Elephas maximus indicus: one gene and its partner. The protein of the gene in region 2 binds, or shares a complex with, the protein of the main gene of each other region. Links are inferred from orthologs where the notes say so. Each region holds a gene or a part of one and is shown on either strand. Other genes may lie near its edges.

The links. The genes of interacting proteins can lie anywhere in the genome.
Region 1: ARPC2 (region 2) and ARPC5 share a complex: the UniProt entries of both Homo sapiens proteins name them as parts of the arp2/3 complex. The link is inferred for Elephas maximus indicus from reciprocal best matches to the Homo sapiens genes ARPC2 and ARPC5.

What each region holds. Positions count from the first base shown.
Region 1 is NC_064842.1:47,115,771-47,126,035, forward strand, and holds the start of ARPC5 (actin-related protein 2/3 complex subunit 5), read right to left. Parts: upstream 4,706-10,265; 5' UTR 4,462-4,705; coding exon 4,318-4,461; intron 1,474-4,317; coding exon 1,402-1,473; intron 1-1,401. UniProt on the Homo sapiens protein: Component of the Arp2/3 complex, a multiprotein complex that mediates actin polymerization upon stimulation by nucleation-promoting factor (NPF).
Region 2 is NC_064824.1:116,783,370-116,792,882, reverse strand, and holds the start of ARPC2 (actin-related protein 2/3 complex subunit 2), read right to left. Parts: upstream 4,681-9,513; 5' UTR 4,579-4,680; intron 4,360-4,578; 5' UTR 4,352-4,359; coding exon 4,278-4,351; intron 1-4,277. UniProt on the Homo sapiens protein: Actin-binding component of the Arp2/3 complex, a multiprotein complex that mediates actin polymerization upon stimulation by nucleation-promoting factor (NPF).

The DNA.
Region 1 (10,265 bases), on a different chromosome or scaffold from region 2:
ATTCACTGTTATTTGACTACAGATATGATATACATGATCTTTGTTGATAATGATCTTTTTTCTTTGGCAAAAGGCTGCTCCAAAAGCAGTTATTTTCTTACCCATCAAGCCAGCAAACGGAACACTTAATTTACCCTTTCCACAATTTGTTTCTCCTTCTATTCAAGACAAAGTGATACCCTTTAGCATTCCTGCTGGTCAGTATTTTACAAAATGTTTCTACCACCTATTGTTGTCTTCAGTTTAGAGAATATGCAATTACTCGATAGGGAAAAATATCTTTGCCTCCAGAGCTATAACCTCCCACCCACAAGCTGTGACAAAATTCACCCATATAAAAACAGAAAGTGGCAAAACTGAAATTTCAATGGAGTTCTCCACAACTTACAGAAACCAAAGACATTGTCCCCTGTTGCCTAGTTAATTATTATGCATTTCCCTAAGTTATTATTTACTACTCTTCAAAGGAGGTTCTTGAGTCTCCTAGGGTGTATGAATAGCCACTGACAGTGGGGTTCATTTTAAACAATAAATCAGTAAGTAAATAGGGTTCTTTAGAATTAGTGAAGTCTGCTACTGGGAATGTAAATTGCGCAACTTTTCTAATGGGCAATTTGGCCATATGTACAAAAGCCTTAAAAAAAAGTACATTTTTTGATCCAAGGAATTCATCTAAAAGAATGAAGAATTTACAAAAAATTATTCATTTCAGTACAGTACAGGAAAACAATGGTCAATAATTTAAATGTGTTACCACAGGGGATTAGTTATGTATCAACCACAGCATATCAATAAGCAGCTATTAAAAATGATTACATTATTAAAGATTATTTCCTTATTACTAAGGAAAGAACTTCATGTATATCGCTCTACAGTTGAAAAAGGTTGTAAAACTCCATTAAAAAAAAAAAAAAAACAAAACCAGAAAGAAATCTACAAGCATACAGCCACACCAAAAGGTAACAACTGCTATCTCTGGGTGGTGGGATTATGGGTCAGTACCTTTTTAATCCCCCCATATCTGTTTTCTATAATAAATATTTAGTACTAGTTTGATTTTTAATAAATCTTCTAAAAGCATGCAAACAGTGTGTTTATTTTTGTAAATGTTTTACTTATTCTTTGTTTAAATTCAACCTGCGGGGCCTCCTCTAAAAATGCCCACAGGAGTGGCCTCTCTGTCATTTGAACTTTTTGAACTTACTGTGTATACCATGTAGCACTGTCATAACTCAACGCAAATGTTATTTTTTATAAATTTTAACTTAGCAAACTAAACTATAAGCTCTTTCATGTCAAAGAGAGGGAATAATTAAAATATCTGTTGATTCTGTGAAACTTCAAATGCTTTTGGTATGAATAAAGATGTCAGCAAGGACCATCTTGCTGTCTGTGACTCACCTTCACCGCCTGACTCTTGGTGTTGATAGGGGGGTTTTTCAAAGCTGCTTGTAGGGCGGCTGTCATGTTTCCTGTGAGGGAAGTTAAGGGGATAACAGCAAAGAGCAGCCCTCAGGTAAGCTTTATAACTTTCAAGAACCATTGGTTTTTAGGACCTGAGTTTATGTACAAAGAGAAAAAATTGCTACAGTCACGATGTTCTTCAATATTGGAAATTCAATCCATTGATTTCAAGGATGTCAATCAAAGGTAAAATACTGAAAACAAAAGAGAACATTAGCCTTAAGACTATTTCACCTTTGGTTCTTAACTATCAAGGAGCCCTGGTGGCACAGTGGTTAAGCACTTGGCTGCTAACTGAAAGGTCACTGGTTCGAAAGCTCTAAGGCTCCAAGGAGAAAGACGCAGCAGTCTGCTTCCGTAAAGATTAAGCCATTGCCACTGAGTTGATTCAGACTCATACAGCCTTGGAAACCCTACGGGGCAGTTCTACTCCGCCCTATAGGGTCACTACGAGTTGAAATTTACTCAATGGCAATGGGTTTAGTTTTTTTTTTTTTCGGTTCTCAACTGTCAAATGAATGCCTTTCACTCTCCCATGAGACACATATGCACATTATCCAGAGTGGTACTAAAGAAAATCTAAAAGGTATATTAAAAAAGGTATATTAGAATTATTAAATTCCAAAGTGAAACAGCCTGTCATCAATCAAAATACATCTTTTTACGATTTTAACTGAGGGGGGAAAAAAAGACTGAACTTTTACTAGAACTATATTCTGTATTAATTAAAATGCTGGTCGAAAATGCTGGTAGGGTACCCTGGTAATCTGAATGATAAAAACCCACACCAATAATCTCTTAGTATTGATAAGAAGAGGCATTACAGACAGTGTAATAATTCATATGACCCTTAGGTGGCAGCTTAAATTCTCTGTTTTGGGTATTTTCTTTCATATTTCATAAAGGTTATTCAAACCGCCTTAGACTATATTTATTAAACTCAGTCCCTCTATGAAAGCACCAGTGAGTAAGCCAACACGAGAAACGCTAGGCCAATCATACTGTTAGAATGTACAGTCATTCCCCTATAAGGAAAACCACACAGAGTTCACTTGTTCCTCCATCTCTGGTGCTTGACTCCCTCTGTGCAGGCAGGGCTGTCTCCCTTGGTTGTCACAAGGGTAGGAGAAACAATATCTTTATGTTTTAAGATGAACTAATTCAAAAGCAGGCCCCGCTGATATTGATACAGCGGTACCGTTTAAGAGTCATTACAAATCACCTAAAATACGTTAATCTCACAAAATATCTATTCATCACAAAGAATGATTTAAAAAAAGAATAATAGTCACCACTTATCTTCTGCAGGGAAAGGTCTGACAAATACAGTTGGTGGTATAAACTTATTTTCAAGGCTGCATGAACTTCTAGAGAAGCATGCCTTTTGTAGGCTCATTAAGGTGCAAAAACCTTTACAAAATTTAAATAATGCAAAATAGTAACCGCTGATTGTGAAGGGGGCAGAAACCAATGGAACATCCATATGTTCCTGAATGTTAAGTGCGGCATTTTAGGTGCCTTTATACACCAAAACTAAAAAAAGTAACAACCAACCCCGTTGCCCTGGAGTCGATTCTGATTCATAGTGACTCTATAGGACAGAGTAGGCTGCCCCCCAGTTTCCAAGGAGCGCCCGGTGAATTCGAACTGCGGACCTTTTGGTTAGCAGCCGAACTCTGTGACCACTAGAACTCTGTGACCACTACGCCACCAGGGTTTCCAAGACTGGATACAGTTGTTACCAAATACTTTCATTCATACATTTTCTCCTTTAAAGTTTAATGGGACATCGTGAGGAAAGGGTATAAAAAGCTTTCTTTATCTTACCCATACGCTCAAGAAAAATTCGAAAAGCATTAAGTTCAGTCATTGAGAACCTCTAAAACTACACCTTCTGTTACTGCAACATCTACATTTTTCTAAAAAGATCTGATGCAAGTGTTAATTACAAGTTATGAATATTCAAACATGCAAAAATCAAAACCAGGAACTGACAGCTACGCTTTAAAATGGAAACAATTTCAGGATTACAAAAGCGATTCTGCTTTACACAAACGACTTATCTTCTATTTATTGGGGTTTATTTGAAGTACTTCTTGGGATTCTGCACATGCATTCCCCGTTTTCTTTGTATTGTCCTTTTAGCAAGTAAAGGGCTTCAAGCTTCCTTTCTGGGAGTTTTGAGGTTTTTGTACTCACTTCCCTCCTCCGATTAACAAATTCTGTGCAACCTGTATTTTGCCAGTTTTTTTCTCGTTTTAAAAAAACGGAAGAAAAGAAAAAAGTTCACAGGCTGAAAAGACACAGGGCTTCAATTCTGCCAACCACCCCAATCCTCCCGGAAATAATAAACTAGGCTAACGTTACCCGAAACAAATCAACAAACCAACAAACCACTACCACCCTTTCTCCCCACCCAAACCCCTACAGACACCGGCCATCAGCACTTTCTGGCTAACGTGACCCAGAAGCGCCATTCTGGGGAGGAACAGCTGACCTGCCGCGGCACTACCCAGCGCCAGATGCCGCCCCAGCGCCTCGAGGGCGCGGCCAGCAGAGCGGGCTCCCGGGGGCAGGCACTCTGCGCGCCACCTGAGGAACCGGGGCGTGGGAGGCGCCGCGCCAAGGGCAGGTCGCCGAGGGCGGGAGCCTGCAGTCCCGAGGCGGCTCGGTTAGAACCGGGAGAGCCTCTCTCTGAGTCTCAGAGTGGGGGACCCCAATGGGACAGGCTCACCGCGGGCCGCAGGCGGCAGCTCCGCGCCCGTCCCCGCGAGGAGACCGTGGTCCTCGGACTCTGCAGGGCGGCGGGGTCCGGGGAGAGGGGCCGGGGGCGGAGGAGCCAGCGCAAGGATATTGTCGCAGGCAGGAGTCCACCTCGCCCTCGTCGGGCCCGGCTTGGCCGTCGCCCCCGTCCTCCTCGTCCACGAACTTGTTCTCGTCGTACTCATCCACGTCCACCTTCCGGAACCGGGCCGACGACACCGTGTTCTTCGACATCCCCAAACCCCACCGGTGGCAAAGGCCTCCCCTCGGTGCTACCTTTACTACAGCAACCCCAGTCCAGCAGGAACCCGCAGGCTGGCGCCTCCACTTCCCTCTTCCGCTCAGGGGCGTCGCCGGCAGAAGCGGCTCAGCCGGTTCTGAGCCTGCGCGCCGGCCCCGCTCCTGCCTCCTCGGCCTCAGGCCCTACTCTAGCCTCCCACGCCGCCCCCGCGCTCCCGGGGAGCGCGCGCCGGAGAAGGAGCGGGCGCCGGGGAGGGAGCGGGCGAAGGAGGGAGCGGGCGCGCGGGAGGGAGCGCGCGCCAGGGAGGGAGCGGGCGCCAGGGAGGGAGCGCGCGCGGGAGGGAGCGGGCGAAGGAGGGAGCAGGCGCGCGGGAGGGAGCAGGCGCGCGGGAGGGAGCGCGCGCCAGGGAGGGAGCGGGTGCGCGGGCGCCAGGGAGGGAGCGCGCGCCAGGGAGGGAGCGGGCGCCAGGGAGGGAGCGGGCGCGCCGGAGGGAGCAAGCGCCAGGGAAGGGGCGCGCCAGGGAGGGAGCGCGCAGGACCCCACGCGCAGACGCGGACTCTCTGCAGGAAAGGGGTGGGGCCAGGAGAAGGGGCGGGGGCGGGATAAGAGGGAAGGCGGAAAGCCGTACCGCGGACAGAGGGGAGCGGCGATTGGTCGCCCGAGTGCATCACGTGGTGCCCAGGGGGTTCCCATAGAAACGCTTCTCTGCGGTCCAGCCTGGTGGCGGGGGGGTCCTAGGTTGGCGGCTATGGGCACCGGGGGCGGGTGGCTTTGGCTTTTGCTGCCGCTACCGCCGCCGCTGAGCAGTCATTGGAGTCCTGCGTAAGGTCCGGCTGGCCCCGACTTGCCAGTGCGGTGGGATGGACTGGTTGCCGGACCCAGCCCCCTGCAGCTGGCAGGAGTATGGGGCGGAGTGGTGCACTCCCGTGTGCCCAGCATCGTGCTAGTTGTCGAAGACATCGCTTCGGAACGCGCTCCACCCGGGGTGCATTCCCCAGCTGGGAGCCCTTTCCCCGAGGGTAGAACTACGCTGCAGGGCCAGTCAGAGGCTTCCAAGGACGGAGTCAAAAGGTCATATCTTATCTCTCAGTGCTGGTGACAGCATCGTGACGGGACCTGCAGAACCTAAACTCGGTATCATATCTATCGGGAGGGAGGGGAAGATGTCTGGGCAGGGCTGGAGTCAGGTGGCAAAACTGGGGTGAACGTGTAGAATTTGGGGTAGGATCATTCATCATTGATATCTTAAAATAAGTGGTTGGAGCAAGAATGCTAGAGAAAGGTGGGGCGAGGTAGGCTCTGGTGCTGAAGGAAAACCAAATGTTTATGGATTAGTAGAAACCAGTCTTTAAGATTTGTATTTATGAATTACATGACTCCACTAGACCAGCTTCTTAATTATATTTGACATCCTAGTATCTGAGAGCATAAGAGGTAAAGCCACTAAGGACATGGTAGTTGTGCTGTGTATTACACTGAAGTACAAATTAATGATAAGCCCAAATATTTGCAGAATACAATTAATTTGGACATTTCGTTGGACATTGCCCAGGTGGTTTCATATTTTCCTGCCATCCTATGAGTCCAGTTTAGTTCCACCTCTGGGAGAAGGCTGGCTGTTGCCCCTGTTGAGTACTCCAATCCTTGTTTTCCTGTGGTGTATTGAAAAGAGTCCTGGGCTTAGAATCAGAAGACCCTGGCTTGAGTCTTGGTTCTTTCACTCATCATCTGTTTGGTTGAGGCATGCCACTTAAAATTCTGAATCTCAGGTTCTTTATCGCAAAAATGGGGATAGTAATGATTACTTCACTAGATTGTTCTGAGGTTTAAATACACAAAAGTGTTTTGAAGCTCTAAAATTGTACATATATGTAAAATGCTTATTACCTGTACCATTGGCTTTGGCATTAGCCTTCTAGCTTACTTAATGATATATCATGTTTTATCTTGCTCTTCGGAGAGATTGCAAGATTCTGGATGACAGAGACCTGTCTTATATTTATTTTGCATCTTCCTTTACCTGCAGAAGGTACTGAATAAATGTTTGATGAATGGATGAAGTGTGAAAGGCAGTACAGGTTGAGGATCACACTGAGAATAATGAATAAGTAAGAAGAGAAAGATGTCAAATTAAACCTTATGTCATATATATATACAGAGAGAGAAAGGACAAGGGAGGACAGGAGAGAGAGAAAGAGGGAGAGACAGACAGACACTCCTCAAGAATGGAATGCATCCTTTTTCCTTGGGAGGAAAAAGCAATGTGGCTTTTTTCTTTTCCCAATAAAATGCCCATTCTAGAAGACAGAATTTAGATGATAAAAGCGACATTTCCTTAAATTGACATTCAAATTACAAACTCCCCTAGAATTCTCTTAAAACAGCAAAGGAAAATTTTCTAGCTGTTGGTAATATTTATTTTAAAATGTCATATTTCAAAGTATCAGGTTATTACTATGTTGAATGGCATTATATAACTTAGAATGTAGATGTATTTAAATATTTTTTCTCAGTTTCAGTCTTTTGCTAACTTTAGTATGAGCTAAACAATATTCTTCTTGAGATGCTAAAGACTGTACTTTTTGTTCTTTTAAATCAAGATTTTTCTTAAAGAGAAAATTGCGCATTAAAAGCACTGTTGAACAAATGGGAACAAAGATTCAAGACCTAACTCATTCCTTTTCTTACGTTTCTATTCTTTTGTATTCTTATCTAGGAAATTTCTTTTTGTCTTATTTTAGAACTGGGAAAGACTCCCTTGATAGAAATCAATTTAAGAGAATAGTGAGAAGACTTTAAAAAATTGGGGATGCTCATGGGTGTAATTGTTTTGATTGCTCAGAATGTGTTGAATGTCTTAAATGTAATTAATTCTCAGCCCCAAAATGTGTATTACATTTCAGATGTCAAAAGGTCTTTTTCCAATGCAGTATTTTTTATTGTCTCACAATGATCTAAGTGCCTAGTGTATCAGGCACTCAATAAATTTCTATCAAGTAAATTTATGATCTGACAAGTAACTTTAGGGATCGCATTTAGAGACTGAGTATTTTTGAATGGATACGTTAATATTGCTCCCTATGCTCCGCTAGCTAATAGTTAAATAGTTATACAGCTTTAGGGAAACTGTTTTGGGGGAAGAAACTCATTCTTAATTATCTTTTAATTAAAAAATTATTATCTCAGTTACTTAATGTTAACCATAATAGTTAATTCATTTTAGGTACTAGGATTCTGCCTATTTTAGTATTTTAAATGAGTACTTACCCTGACATAAACTATTCATAAGGTTTTAAGACTTTTTCTTTTTTGTGCTTTAGATGAAGGTTTACAGAACAAACTAGTTTCTCTTTAAACCGTTAGTACACATATTGTTTTGTGACATTACTTACCAACCCCATGACGTGTCAACACTCTCCCTTCTAGACTTTGGACTCCCTATTCCCAGCTCTCCTGTCCCCTCTTGCCTTCCAGTCCTTGCCCCTGGGCTGGTGTGCCGCTTTGGTCTTGTTTGTTTTATGGGCCTGTCTAATCTTTGGCTGAAGGGTGAACCTCAGAAGTGACTTCAGTACTGAGTTAAAAGGGTGTCCGGGAGCCCTGCTCTCAGGGTTTCTCCAGTCTTTGTCAGGCCAGTAAGTCTGATCTTTTTTTTGTGAGTTAGAATTTTGTTCTACATTTTTGTACAGCTCTATCCAGGATCCCCTATTGTGATCTCTGTCAGAGCAGTCAGCGGTGGTAGCCGGGCACCATCTAGTTATACTGGGCTCAGCCTGGTAGAGGCTGTGGTAGTTGTGGTCCATTAGTCCTTTGGACTAATCTTTCCCTGTGTCTTTAGTTTTCTTCATTCTCCCTTGCTCCCAATGGAGTGAGACTAGTGGTGTATCTTAGATGGTCGCTGACAAGCTTTTAAGACCTCAGACGCCACTCACTAAAGTAGAATGTAGAACATTTTCTTTATAAACTATGTTATGCCAGTTGAGCTAGATGTTCCCCAAGACTGTGGTCCGAACAGCCCTCGACCTAGTAATTCGGTCCCTCAGGGAGTTTTGATGTGTCTGTGGAGCTTACATGATCTTGCCTCATACAAGTTGTGCTGGCTTCCCCCAGCATTGTGTACTGAAGACATTTTATTGTGCAAAATAACCTGGTTGGCCCAATAGGAAAGCAAGATTGAATCTGAGTTTTCTCAAGGTTTATGCTACATGCTGGCATGTAGCTCCTTTTTGTGTGATGATGCAAAGAACAAGGATCCTTTTAATTAAAAGGGATTTTGATAAAATTATAATAGGTCTTTCTTTTCACATTTTAAAAACCAAGTACTCTCCTACTATGTGCGTTTTCCCCCAGAATTGCCACTAAGTACTTAAAAAAACAAACCAAGACATTGAACCCTGCAAGCATGGCACTATTATTTTATTATTGGAAATGAAAATATACTCCATTTTAATCAAATATGTCAAATGTATATTATACATATAAAATAAAGGTAAAACTCAGCTCTGGTAATGATGATTTAATATCATTATTCCCTATTGACATTTCTGTAATATAAAGATCCTTATCGTATTACCCATAAACTGTATAATGGTTTAATTTACTCCTACTTCATGCTCAAATCAACTGTTTCTGTGCTGAAACAACCAACCTTCAAAATTTCAAGTTTTTTCTTATTATTTTTAGCGTTACATAAGTTTATGATTACTCACTGAAATAGATAGGGTGAAATATTTTTCAGTAGGGCCTTTAATTAGATAATAATACTTCGCAAAGATTTAAAAAACTATAAATCGTACTCTTGTCTCAGGATAAATAGTGCTGAATGAAAGAGTGAACATTGTTTTTGAAACATTGTTGTAAATGAGCCTTTTTTTCCATTTAATTTTATATTCCCTGAGGATATAGGAAACTCTGGTGGCATAGTGGTTAAGAGCTAAGGCTGCTAACCAAAAGGTCAGCAATTTGAATCTGCCAGGCACTCCTTGGAAACTCTATCGGGCAGTTCTACTCTGTTCTATAGGTTTGCTATGAGTTGGAATCGACTTGATGGCAGTGGGTTTTTTGGTTTTGTTTATGAGGATATAAGGAGCCCTGGTGGCGTAATGGTTAAAAGCTCAGCTGCTAAGCAAAAGGTTGGCAGTTTGAATCCACTAGCAGCCTTTGGAAACTCCACAGGGCGGTTTTACTCTCTCCTATAGGGTCTTTTTATAGGGTCACTATGAGTTGAAATTGACTTGACGGCAATGGGTTTTGGTTTAGTTTATGATGATTTAAAGGGAACCTATTGATTTAAAAAATATTTATTTATCCTTTATTCTTTCCCATTACTGGGATCGCTTATTAATAATAGTTGCTTTAAGGTTATATCAAACTATTTGAAATAATGATAATTTACATTTTCCTTTCTAATATTTATATTCATTTATTTTTCTTATTACATTAAGTAGAATCTTGAAAACGGTATTGAGAAATTGGGTGAAAGTAGGCTTCCATGCTTTGTTCCTGTTTCAATGGAAATATCTTTGGTATTTCACTAGTTGATATTATATTTATTATTGCTTTGTGATCTTTAGGAATGACTGCTTAATTTATCAAATGCCTTTGTGAGTATCTAATGGTAAAAGTCATATCATTTTAAACTTTAAATTTATTAATGTAATGAATTATATAGTTTTCTACATTGAAACATTCCCACATTCCTAGCATACACTCTATTTGGTTTTTGAATGTTATTCTTTTAATTCCTTCCTGGATTTGATTAGCTTATATTTCATTTATATGGTTCGGAATCTATGTTTTT
Region 2 (9,513 bases):
ATTGATAGGCCTAGCTTCTGAGGTTCACAAGGTTCTTGGTGTATAAGCAGTAACAAAAGAATTCAATTAATTTCCCATATTACTTCTGCTTTAAATGGGGGCCTGGGTTTAAGAATTCCCAAATGAAAAGGTACTGCTTTGATAAGACCTGAGCGTGGGGGTGCTTGTAGGATTGCGTATAGTTTTTTCACCAGTCACATCCTCTTAGGTTGAAGGCTGTTGGGAAAACAATTTACCATTAATTATCATTTTGTGAGGCTATATGGATCACTCCAGTAAACCATTTTCCCCAGTTGTGTGGTAGGAAAAAATAAAAAGCAATTTGTTTGGAATGAATCTTACGCTCTCTGCCTGAAGTGCCTCCAAATTAAAAGGTTATCATGACTAAATGTATTCACTTAAAAGGTTAGATTACAGAACTGCTTTACCAGAAGGAAATGTAGAGTTTTAGTAAGATGTCAGAGGCAAGAAGATTTGAGCAGCATTATTAAAAAGAAGAAACTAGTCTACAGAACCAACAGTCTATACAAACAACAAAATCACCTACCTTGAGACCAGAAGAACTAGATGGTGCCCAGCTACCACTACTGACTGTTCTGACCAGGGGCTCAATAGTCTTGGATAGTATGGGAGAAAAATGTAGAATAAAACTCAAATTCCCCCAAAAAAGGCCAGACTTACTGGACCAGTAGAGACTAGATGAATCCCCAGTCTATCGCCTTGACATACACTTTAAACTTGGAACTCAAACCACTCCCAGAGGTCACCGTTCAGCCAAATGACAGACTGGCCCATAAAATAAATAATATCCCTCGTGAGTACTGTGCTCCTCAAAATAATCACCTAGATGAATTCAAATGATAAGCATTTACCCTACACCAAAGATGAGAAGGTAAAGGGGATCAGGGAAGCTAGACTAATGGAAACAGAACAACCAAAATGGAAATAATGAGAATGCTAATATATTGCGAAGAATGTAACCAGTATCACTGAACAATATGTACAGAAATTGTTAATTAAATGAGAGCCTAATTTCTTGCATAAACTTTGACCAAAAACACACACACACACACAAATAAACCCCAAAAGGAAAACTAACGCCAACTGCATTCTGAAGTATATATACCACAGGACTATCTTCACAGTATCTCAATGCTACGTTTTCAGGAGCTGGAACAATGCTGCCCAACAAAAAGAACTTCAAGCAACAATGGAAACGTTCTGCATCTGCACCGTCCAATACAGTAACTACACGTGGTCACTGAGCACTAGATATATGGCTGGTGTGACCGAGGGACTTGATTTTTAATTTATTACCTTTTAATTACTTTTTATTTAAACAGCCATATGTAGTTAGTGGCTACCGTATTAGACAGTGCAGAGCTGGAAGACCCACTCTGGAAAAGGTTGCTTTGAACCATAACTTTCCCAGCTGGTCTGCTCTAAGAACTTTAAGGAGCTCTGGCAGCACAGTGGTTAAGAACTCAGCTGCTAACCAAAAGGTTGGCAGTTCGAATCCACCACCTGCTCCTTGGAAATCCTAAATGGCAGTTCTAATCTGTCCTATAGGGTCACTATGAGTTGGAATTGACTCAAAGGCAACAGGTTTGGAAGATGTGTAAAGCAGGGTGGAACTGCCCTCTTCCAGGAGGCTCCCACACTTGGCACCACCTTTCAAACTCTCAGCATTTTTCTTTAAGGTCTTTCTCTATCTTCCACCCCAGCACATCTCACCCCTTAGCTTCTCTGTAACTTTGCCAACATGCTCTCTCAGAAAGGCCGGCTTCTTTTTTTCTTTTTTGCTCCTGCCTGGTGTTGAGTGCTGGTAAAAACCAAAGCCAAACCCACTGCCCTTGAGTCATTTCTGAATCATAGCGACCCTATAGTACCGAGCAGAACTGCCCCACAGGGTTTCTAAGGCTGTGATCTTTACGGAAGCAGGCTACCACATCTTTCTCCCGCAGAACGACTGGTGTGTTCAAACCTCCAATCTTTCGGTCAGCAGCCAAGTGCTTAACCACTCACTGTGCCACCAAGGCTCCTTTGAGTACCGGCAGAATCCCATATATGTTTATGATTCTCATAGCAGTCATCCTTTGTGGAAGTTCTGGTGTAGACATGCACTGTGATAAATATTTAACTGCTTCATCGGTGCCTTACCTTACTGGTATGCCTGGAAAAGCACACTTGGCTTGAAATTAGGCTTCTGCTTAGAGTACATCTGCAATCCCAGAAAAGCCCTACCTAGTAGGTCTGAATATTACGGTCTCTTTTCAAAGATTTCCCAAGAGCTTTTCAGCAGAATATGTTTTAAGCCCACTTATTTAAACTACTTTAAATAAGTGGGCATACAATAAAAGCGAAAGCTCAACACCCTCCCTCATATCCAACATCAATACAACACAAATCTTTTAACGAATGTCTTGGAAGTTCTAACTTACCCCTTCCTGACTTGAGGGCCTGCTTTAACCCCTCTGAAATGGTTAGCTGCTCTTTCTAAGAGTAATTTTCTAAAAGAAAACCAGCTGGAAGTTCTGAACAATGGGCCACATTTGGGAATCACAAGTTATTAATACACAAATAGATGTGAAGGTACTCCTGCATACAAGGCAGGCCTCTACTTGAAAATCCACAGGCGGATCTGCTTACAGCCACTCAGGTCTCATTCTTTGCTAGTCTGGACTTGAGAATGCATTAAGATCAGTTGTGAAAATGCAGAAGTTAGCTCAACTTCCTCCTATGTGCTACACTGCTCAAAAAAAGTACACAGCAATCACCCAAAAAAGACCCTAGGCTGATTCACTTGAATTATTTAAAGTGCAAAGGAAATGGCATGATAGACTGAAAAGAAGAAGCAAGTTAGCCTAAAATATAAGCGACTATCATCCCTGGCAAGAAACAGTACTGCTCACTGCATGTCATTACTTCAAGGAATAGTCCGTGCTTTGTTTTACAGATAAAATCTGTGGGCTTAAAAAATAGATAAGACTCATAAGACTCACAATACATTCAATTTAAGCAGTGAGTTAGAAGAGCTTTTTTTTTTTTTTAATTGCCTCCAAGCCACAAGTCCATTACGATTACTCAGAATGTCCCCTCCAGCAAGCCTCTCCCATCTGTGGATCTCTAAGCATTTACTTTCCTATTATTACTTCCCAGTTCATCATAGACACTTTGCATCCAGTTCCTCAACTGAAACTAAGATGTGAAGCCCCATCCTCACAGATGGGGAAATGAAGCAAAAGGACTGGCCACAGGCCACTAAAAATTAGAAGATAAAGCCAATTCCTTGGCCTCATATTTTAAATACTATATTAGAAACCCAAAGCAGCTCTGGGGGAGGGGGCTGTTTGTCTTCTACTGATGCTTGTGTTCAACTGAGAAGACTGCCTTAGAAAAATGTTCTAAGCCCATCTTTAAAAAGGCCAACAATGAAGGTTATCTAAGAACTTTACAGACCTAGGCGGCTCAGAAGTGTGTCACTGGGCCAAGACTATCACAGAAGAAATCACGGGCCAGGGGTCCTGCACCAAGAATTTCAAGATAACCAAATAATGGCTAATGGGTGGGGAAAGTAGCATTAGAACCTCAGAAGACAGATAAGGAATGGATGGATGTGGATGGAGGGACTGTCAACTCTGAGAAATATGTAACAAAATGGCCAGTTTCTTCTTACAGTAGGGTCCGGGGAAAGGGAAATTATAGAAATCGCGTTTTTCCGGTTGTACGGCTGGGTCTGATTGGGGAGATGGAATCGATGGGAAGGAAGCCAGTGCTTCCAGTCTTCCCTCTAGCTCCTTTAGGGAGGAGGTGGGGTGGAGAGCAAGAATGCAGGTGCTAATCTAGGCCTGTATCTTCTTCCCTCCTCCATTCCTGGGAATCCCTGAAAACTTCCAACCCAATCCCAAATGGGCTCTCTTCGGGTTCAGAACAATGACGGGAACAACAGAGGGAAGGGGTCCCCTCCTCGCTCCAGAGGGCAAAGGCATCCTCCAGTGAGTTCAGGCCCAAGCTGCCCTCATGCCCTACAGGTCTCCCTTTGGCACGCGCACTACTGTCCACTCACTGCTTCCGCATCCCTCCTCTGAGCCTCGCCCCACGCATCTCTCTCTGCCCCTCACCCCGCCGCGCCCACGTCTCCACCGCCAGGGCGGCCCCCACACCCTGCCAGGCCCCCCATCTCCCTCCTCCAGGTGTGGGGACCCTGGATGATACTGGGGATTGGCGGGGGTGAGCTCTGCCTCCGCTGCCACCCCTGGCCCCGGGCGCGCGCTCACCCGGCGGCCGCGTTCTCGAACTTCAGCGCGAGCGTCTCCTCGATGATGCGGTTGTTCACCTCCAGCAGGATCATGGCGGCGGCTGCCCCGGGCAGGGGAAGGAGAAACGAGGCGGGTGAGGATGGGTAAAGGAGGGAAGGACAGAGGGAGCGGCCCTGCTGCCCCTGACAAGGGGGCCTGGGTGGAGTAGTAAGTGAAGGGAAAAGGGGAGAGGGGCCGGGATGGGGGGGAAGGGAAGGACACGCGCGCTAGCCCGCGCACGCACACACTGTGGAGACACCCACCCACCCACCCGACCGACCTGGCCCCGGAAGCCTCAACCCGCCTGCCGAGCCGCCGCCGCCGCCTCACCAACAAGCCCGGTCCCCGCCCAGCCCCCGGCTCTAGCCGGTCACTTCCGCTCTCACACCCACTTCCGCTCGCCGCCCTACGCGCGGCCCCGCGGCGCCAATTCCGCTCCGACCCCTCGTGCACGCGCACGCAGGCACGCCTGCGGACCGAGGCCGCGCTTGCGCACTCGTGATGCCGTCGTCCCGCCTCCACTTTCCCACAGACCCCCTTACATCCAGCCCCTTCAAATATGTGGTTTACCCAGCTGTCATTCTCTGAGGCCTTCTTCACTGTCCGTCGCCTCCCTCCCGCTTGTCCCAGAGGTCCAGCTCTACCTTTCCGGTCTAGTCATTTTAGAGATCCCCGCATGAAGCTTCCCATTGTCATCTCCCAGTTCATCTCCCCTTTGCTCTTGGTGCCTGTTCGTTCTCGGTATCCCTTCCTCATCCGCGCTAATGGCTGCCTAGCTGCACCATTACCTTTTCGTTTCTCAACAAATATTTAGTGGGCTTCCTCTCTGTGCAGAGGATACAGCGGTGAAAAAAATAGACGCGGCCCTGCTCTCATGAAGCCTATGGTCTGGTAAAGGAAACAGACAACAAACAAGTAAACGCTGAAGTATATAACTTCAAACTGTTAAAAGGACAATAAAAGAAAGAAATGGGAAGTCACTGAGGTGAATATGCAACTTAGATGGACCTCCCTGGGTTCCTGTCACGCCTCCATTTTTGTGCCTGGGGGAGCAGCTTCCGGGCGCGGCTCTGAACGTAATCTCTTCTGCCTTGGAAACCTTCACGTTCCAGTACCTCTGCAAGAGACATACCGTCCACCTCATCTTCAGGCAGAATCTGAACTCACCTTTGTGGTACATCTGCACCTTCCGCCTGTGTGTCTTGTTTTGTATCTGCCGCCCCTCCCCCTCCCCACCCCAGGGAGACTAAGAGACTTAGATGAGTCCCTTCTACATGCAATACTTAATTTTCTGTTAAGTGTTCTGAGGGGAGGAGGGATCCAAGAAAAGGAACACAAAACTAACCCCTATCAACAAGGCCTAGACAGCCCTTTAGAAAAGATTTCTTATGGGCCATGGATAAGCTTCAGGAAATTGCAGATCCTACCAAATTATATGCTAACGTGTTAAAAATATTTATTGTATTAAAGTAACGCATATACCAAAAAAAAAAAAACCCACTGCTATCGAGTCCGACTCATAGCGACCCTGTAGGGCAGAGTAGAACTGCCCCATAGAGTTTCCAAGGAGCTCCTGGCGAATTCAAACTGCTGACCTTTTAGAACCTAAAAGCAGCCGTAGCACTTAACCACTATGGCACCAGGGTTTCCAACGCATACACACTTTAAAAATAACTAACGCGTTGTTGTCTGGTATATTCTGACTCATAGCAACCCTACAGGACGGAGTAGAACTAACTGCCCCATAGAGTTTCCAGGGAACGGCTGGTGGATTGGAACTGCCGACCTTTTGTCTAGCAGCCCAACTCTTAACCAGTGCGCCCCTTGCGTCAGAATTGACTCCACGACAACTTTTTTTTTTTTTTTTTTTGGTTTCTGATATTAAAAGCCTTTGGAATCGACTCGACGGCACTGGGTTTAATATTAAAAGACTTGCAGTGAGAAAAGCAGTTCCCTGGCCCGCTCTTCAGAGGCAATATCCTCTTATTCATCCTGCTATTTATCACCACATTTCTAAATAAATGCTTATACCACTATTTCTTGATTTGTTAATTCTGAGCATTATCTGATTTCCTGCCAAGGTAGGTGAGAATTTGTCTCCATCACTTCTCCTCCTCCCTACCCCCACATCCACACATACTGAAGAAACAATTTTTGGTTAAGTCAATAATCAATGTTTGTTATGTATGCAAATATTGATCATTGAGGAGCCAAGAAATGCACTGTATGCATGCCTTCTAGCTTACACAGCCTTTCAGTTTTTCCTAGGTTAATTATTGCCTTTTTACCCTTACTTGTCTGATTTTCTATATATTTATAGTTGGCTGTTTCCTCCCAAGTGCTCTAAGATTCTGCGTAAAAAAAAAAAAAAAAAAACCTACCAATAATATTTTCTGTATATTCAAAAATATAAATTTCATTTTTCTCTGAAGTCTTTGTCCCAGAACATTCCTTCCTCTTATTTCAATCTAGATTAATTGCTCTGTAGACTTGCTGCACAGCCGCCATTCTGGGATATTCCTTCATCGTGGTCTGGGTTGGTTTGGCTGGTTGCTCAGCTGATATTTAGACTCTGTAGGTCATGCTCTTGACCACTATGCAATACTAGTATACAGAAATGAACTGGATAGTTCTGTATTTGAGTTTGGAGTTTGATAAAATCAAGGTGTGAGAAACTGGATCTGTCAATATCCGTTTACAAAATAATGACAACTTCTTGACTGGACTGTCACCCTTCCGAACCCTGATGGCTTAAATAGGGAAAGCGATTCTTCAAGGATAGCCAGAAATCTGATGCTTTCAGTCTTAAAGATAGAGGCTGGAGCTCATCTTGGAGGGCTGTCTGGCTATTCTCTGTTTCGTCCTCCAGATCCACTCTTCACCCTTTTCCATCCCCACATCAGCTGGGCCCCCTTGCCCTTTGGCTTTTGGTTGGCCAATAGGGAGCCCCAGCAGGAAAAGAAAGAGATACAGAGACTCCCTCAGGCTGGCTATGTCCCTCAACCAAATGTCACTGCTCTACCTCAGTCAGAACCACTCTCTTCTTCCTTTCAGGTCCTGATAACTGACCCCTCCCCTCATCCTTTTGGGCCTAGGGGCAGTATTAGTTTGGCTGCTACTAGTCCTGGGTTACTGCACTGTCTTGTGATTCTCTTATACCCACATATTTTTAAACCCGAAAATACCCAGTATTTTTTAAATAGTCCTTTGTAAATACACCCTCCTTGAATTATCCTATCTTGAGTGTGCTCTGTGTTTCCTGTGGGGTCAAGACAAAATAAGGAGCAGATGGTTATTCTGGGAGGAATTGCTTTACAGAACCCTTACAGTCTTGCAGTTGTAAGTCAAGCCCTATCCTTAGGGTAGCTGAGCATAGATGGAATGATCCAAATGCTAACGTCTCAGACTCAAATGTTAAATATTCTCCTTAATAGTCTTAAAGACATTCCAACTCTCTTAAAAATGGCTTTTAGTGTGAGTTGTTTGGCAGTGTTCTCTAGAGTGCTGGGAGAGAGTGTTGTTGGGTGTAGTCCTGAGATTAGGGGAGAGGGGAAATGAGACAAAGGCCTTGGAGCCAAAGGAGATGCCATCGGAGACCTGGCCATCAGTCTTGGTCACTCTTTGGGCCTTTTTCTCTGTACCACTGGACTAATCTGCTGTTTGGCCACTAGACCAGGGATATCACCATCTGGTTCTTCTGTTGAAACTACTTGGTAACATGGGTAGAAGCTGGGCAATGGGAAACCATGGAAGGGTTTTGATCAGGGGAGTGGCATGATCAGCCCATTCTGGCCATCCTGTGAAAGATGTTTTGGAGACCAGGCAGGAATAACACGCAGCCTAGCCCCGTGACACCAGGGTATCAATCTATGAGGGACGTTAAAACATCAGTAAGTCAAACTGAATTCCTGTTAACTCAGGCTCCCACAAGAGACTGCTTATATACATAACGGATGAAAAATGTTACATTCTATTAGTTATCCATTGCTGCATCACAATTTACCCCCAGTTATGCTGCTGAAAACAACAAACATTCATTATCTCACAGTTTCTGTGGGTCAGGTATTTGGGAGTGGCTTAGCTGGATTTTTCTGGCTCGGGATCTCTCATGAAATTGCAGTCAAGATGTCAGTAGGGGCTGCGGTAATCCAAAGGCTTGACTGGGGCTAGAAGATCTGCTTCCAAGCTCACTCCTTGGCTGATGTCACTAAGTCTCAGTTCCTCTTCTTAGGTCATGGCAGCTGGCTTCCCTTGAGTGAATGATCCAGGAGTGAACAAGGCAGAAGCCACAGTGTTTTTATAAAATAGCCTGCCATCACTTCTGTTGTATTATCTTGGTCACACAGACCAGCCCTAATACAGTGTGGGAAAAGACTACACACAGGCATGAATACCAGGAGGAAGGGATCATTAGGGGTCATGTTGGAGGCTGGCTAAACTAGAACTCCTCAGGATTCTATCTTTGGATTGTTTCAGTTATCTCTTGCTGGGTAACAAGCTACCACCAAAAAATAATGGTTTTAAAACAATGATTTATTAGTTCTCAGAATTCTGTGGGTTAACTGGATGGGTTTCTGCTGCTCTTGCCTGGGCTCACTCATATTGTTGCAGGGCAAGGCTTCCCGGGTCAGGACTAAGTCCTGCCTAGGTTCTTTTTTTTTAAAATAATTTTTATTGTGCTTTAAGTGAAAGTTTACAAGTCAAGTCAGTCTCTCACACAAAAACTTATATACACCTTGCTACATACTCCCAATTACTCTCCCCCTAATGAGATAGCCCTATCTCTCCCTCCACTCTCTCTTTTCGTGTCCATTTCGCCAGCTTCTTACCCCCTCTACCGTCTCATCTCTCCTCCAGGCAGGAGATGCCAGCATAGTCTCAAGTGTCCACCTGATTCAAGAAGCTCACTTCTCACCAGCATTCGTCTTCAACCCACTGTCCAGTCCAATCCATGTCTGAAGAGTTGCCTGCCTAGGTTCTTGCCTTCTACTGACCAAGAACGACCAGAAGAGGCTCAGAGGTTCCACATGAACAAAGGTTTATTAGTGACAGAAAGAAAGTGAAGGCTCACGAGCAGAGAGAGAGGGAACAGGCAACGCTAACCTCTGTTCCCCTGAACAAAGGTTTTTCTGGGGCTTATATGGGTTTGGCGAGGATAATACAGTAATGAATATTTAGTAGGTTTCTTTCAAGGGGCGGATACTTCTCAGAATGG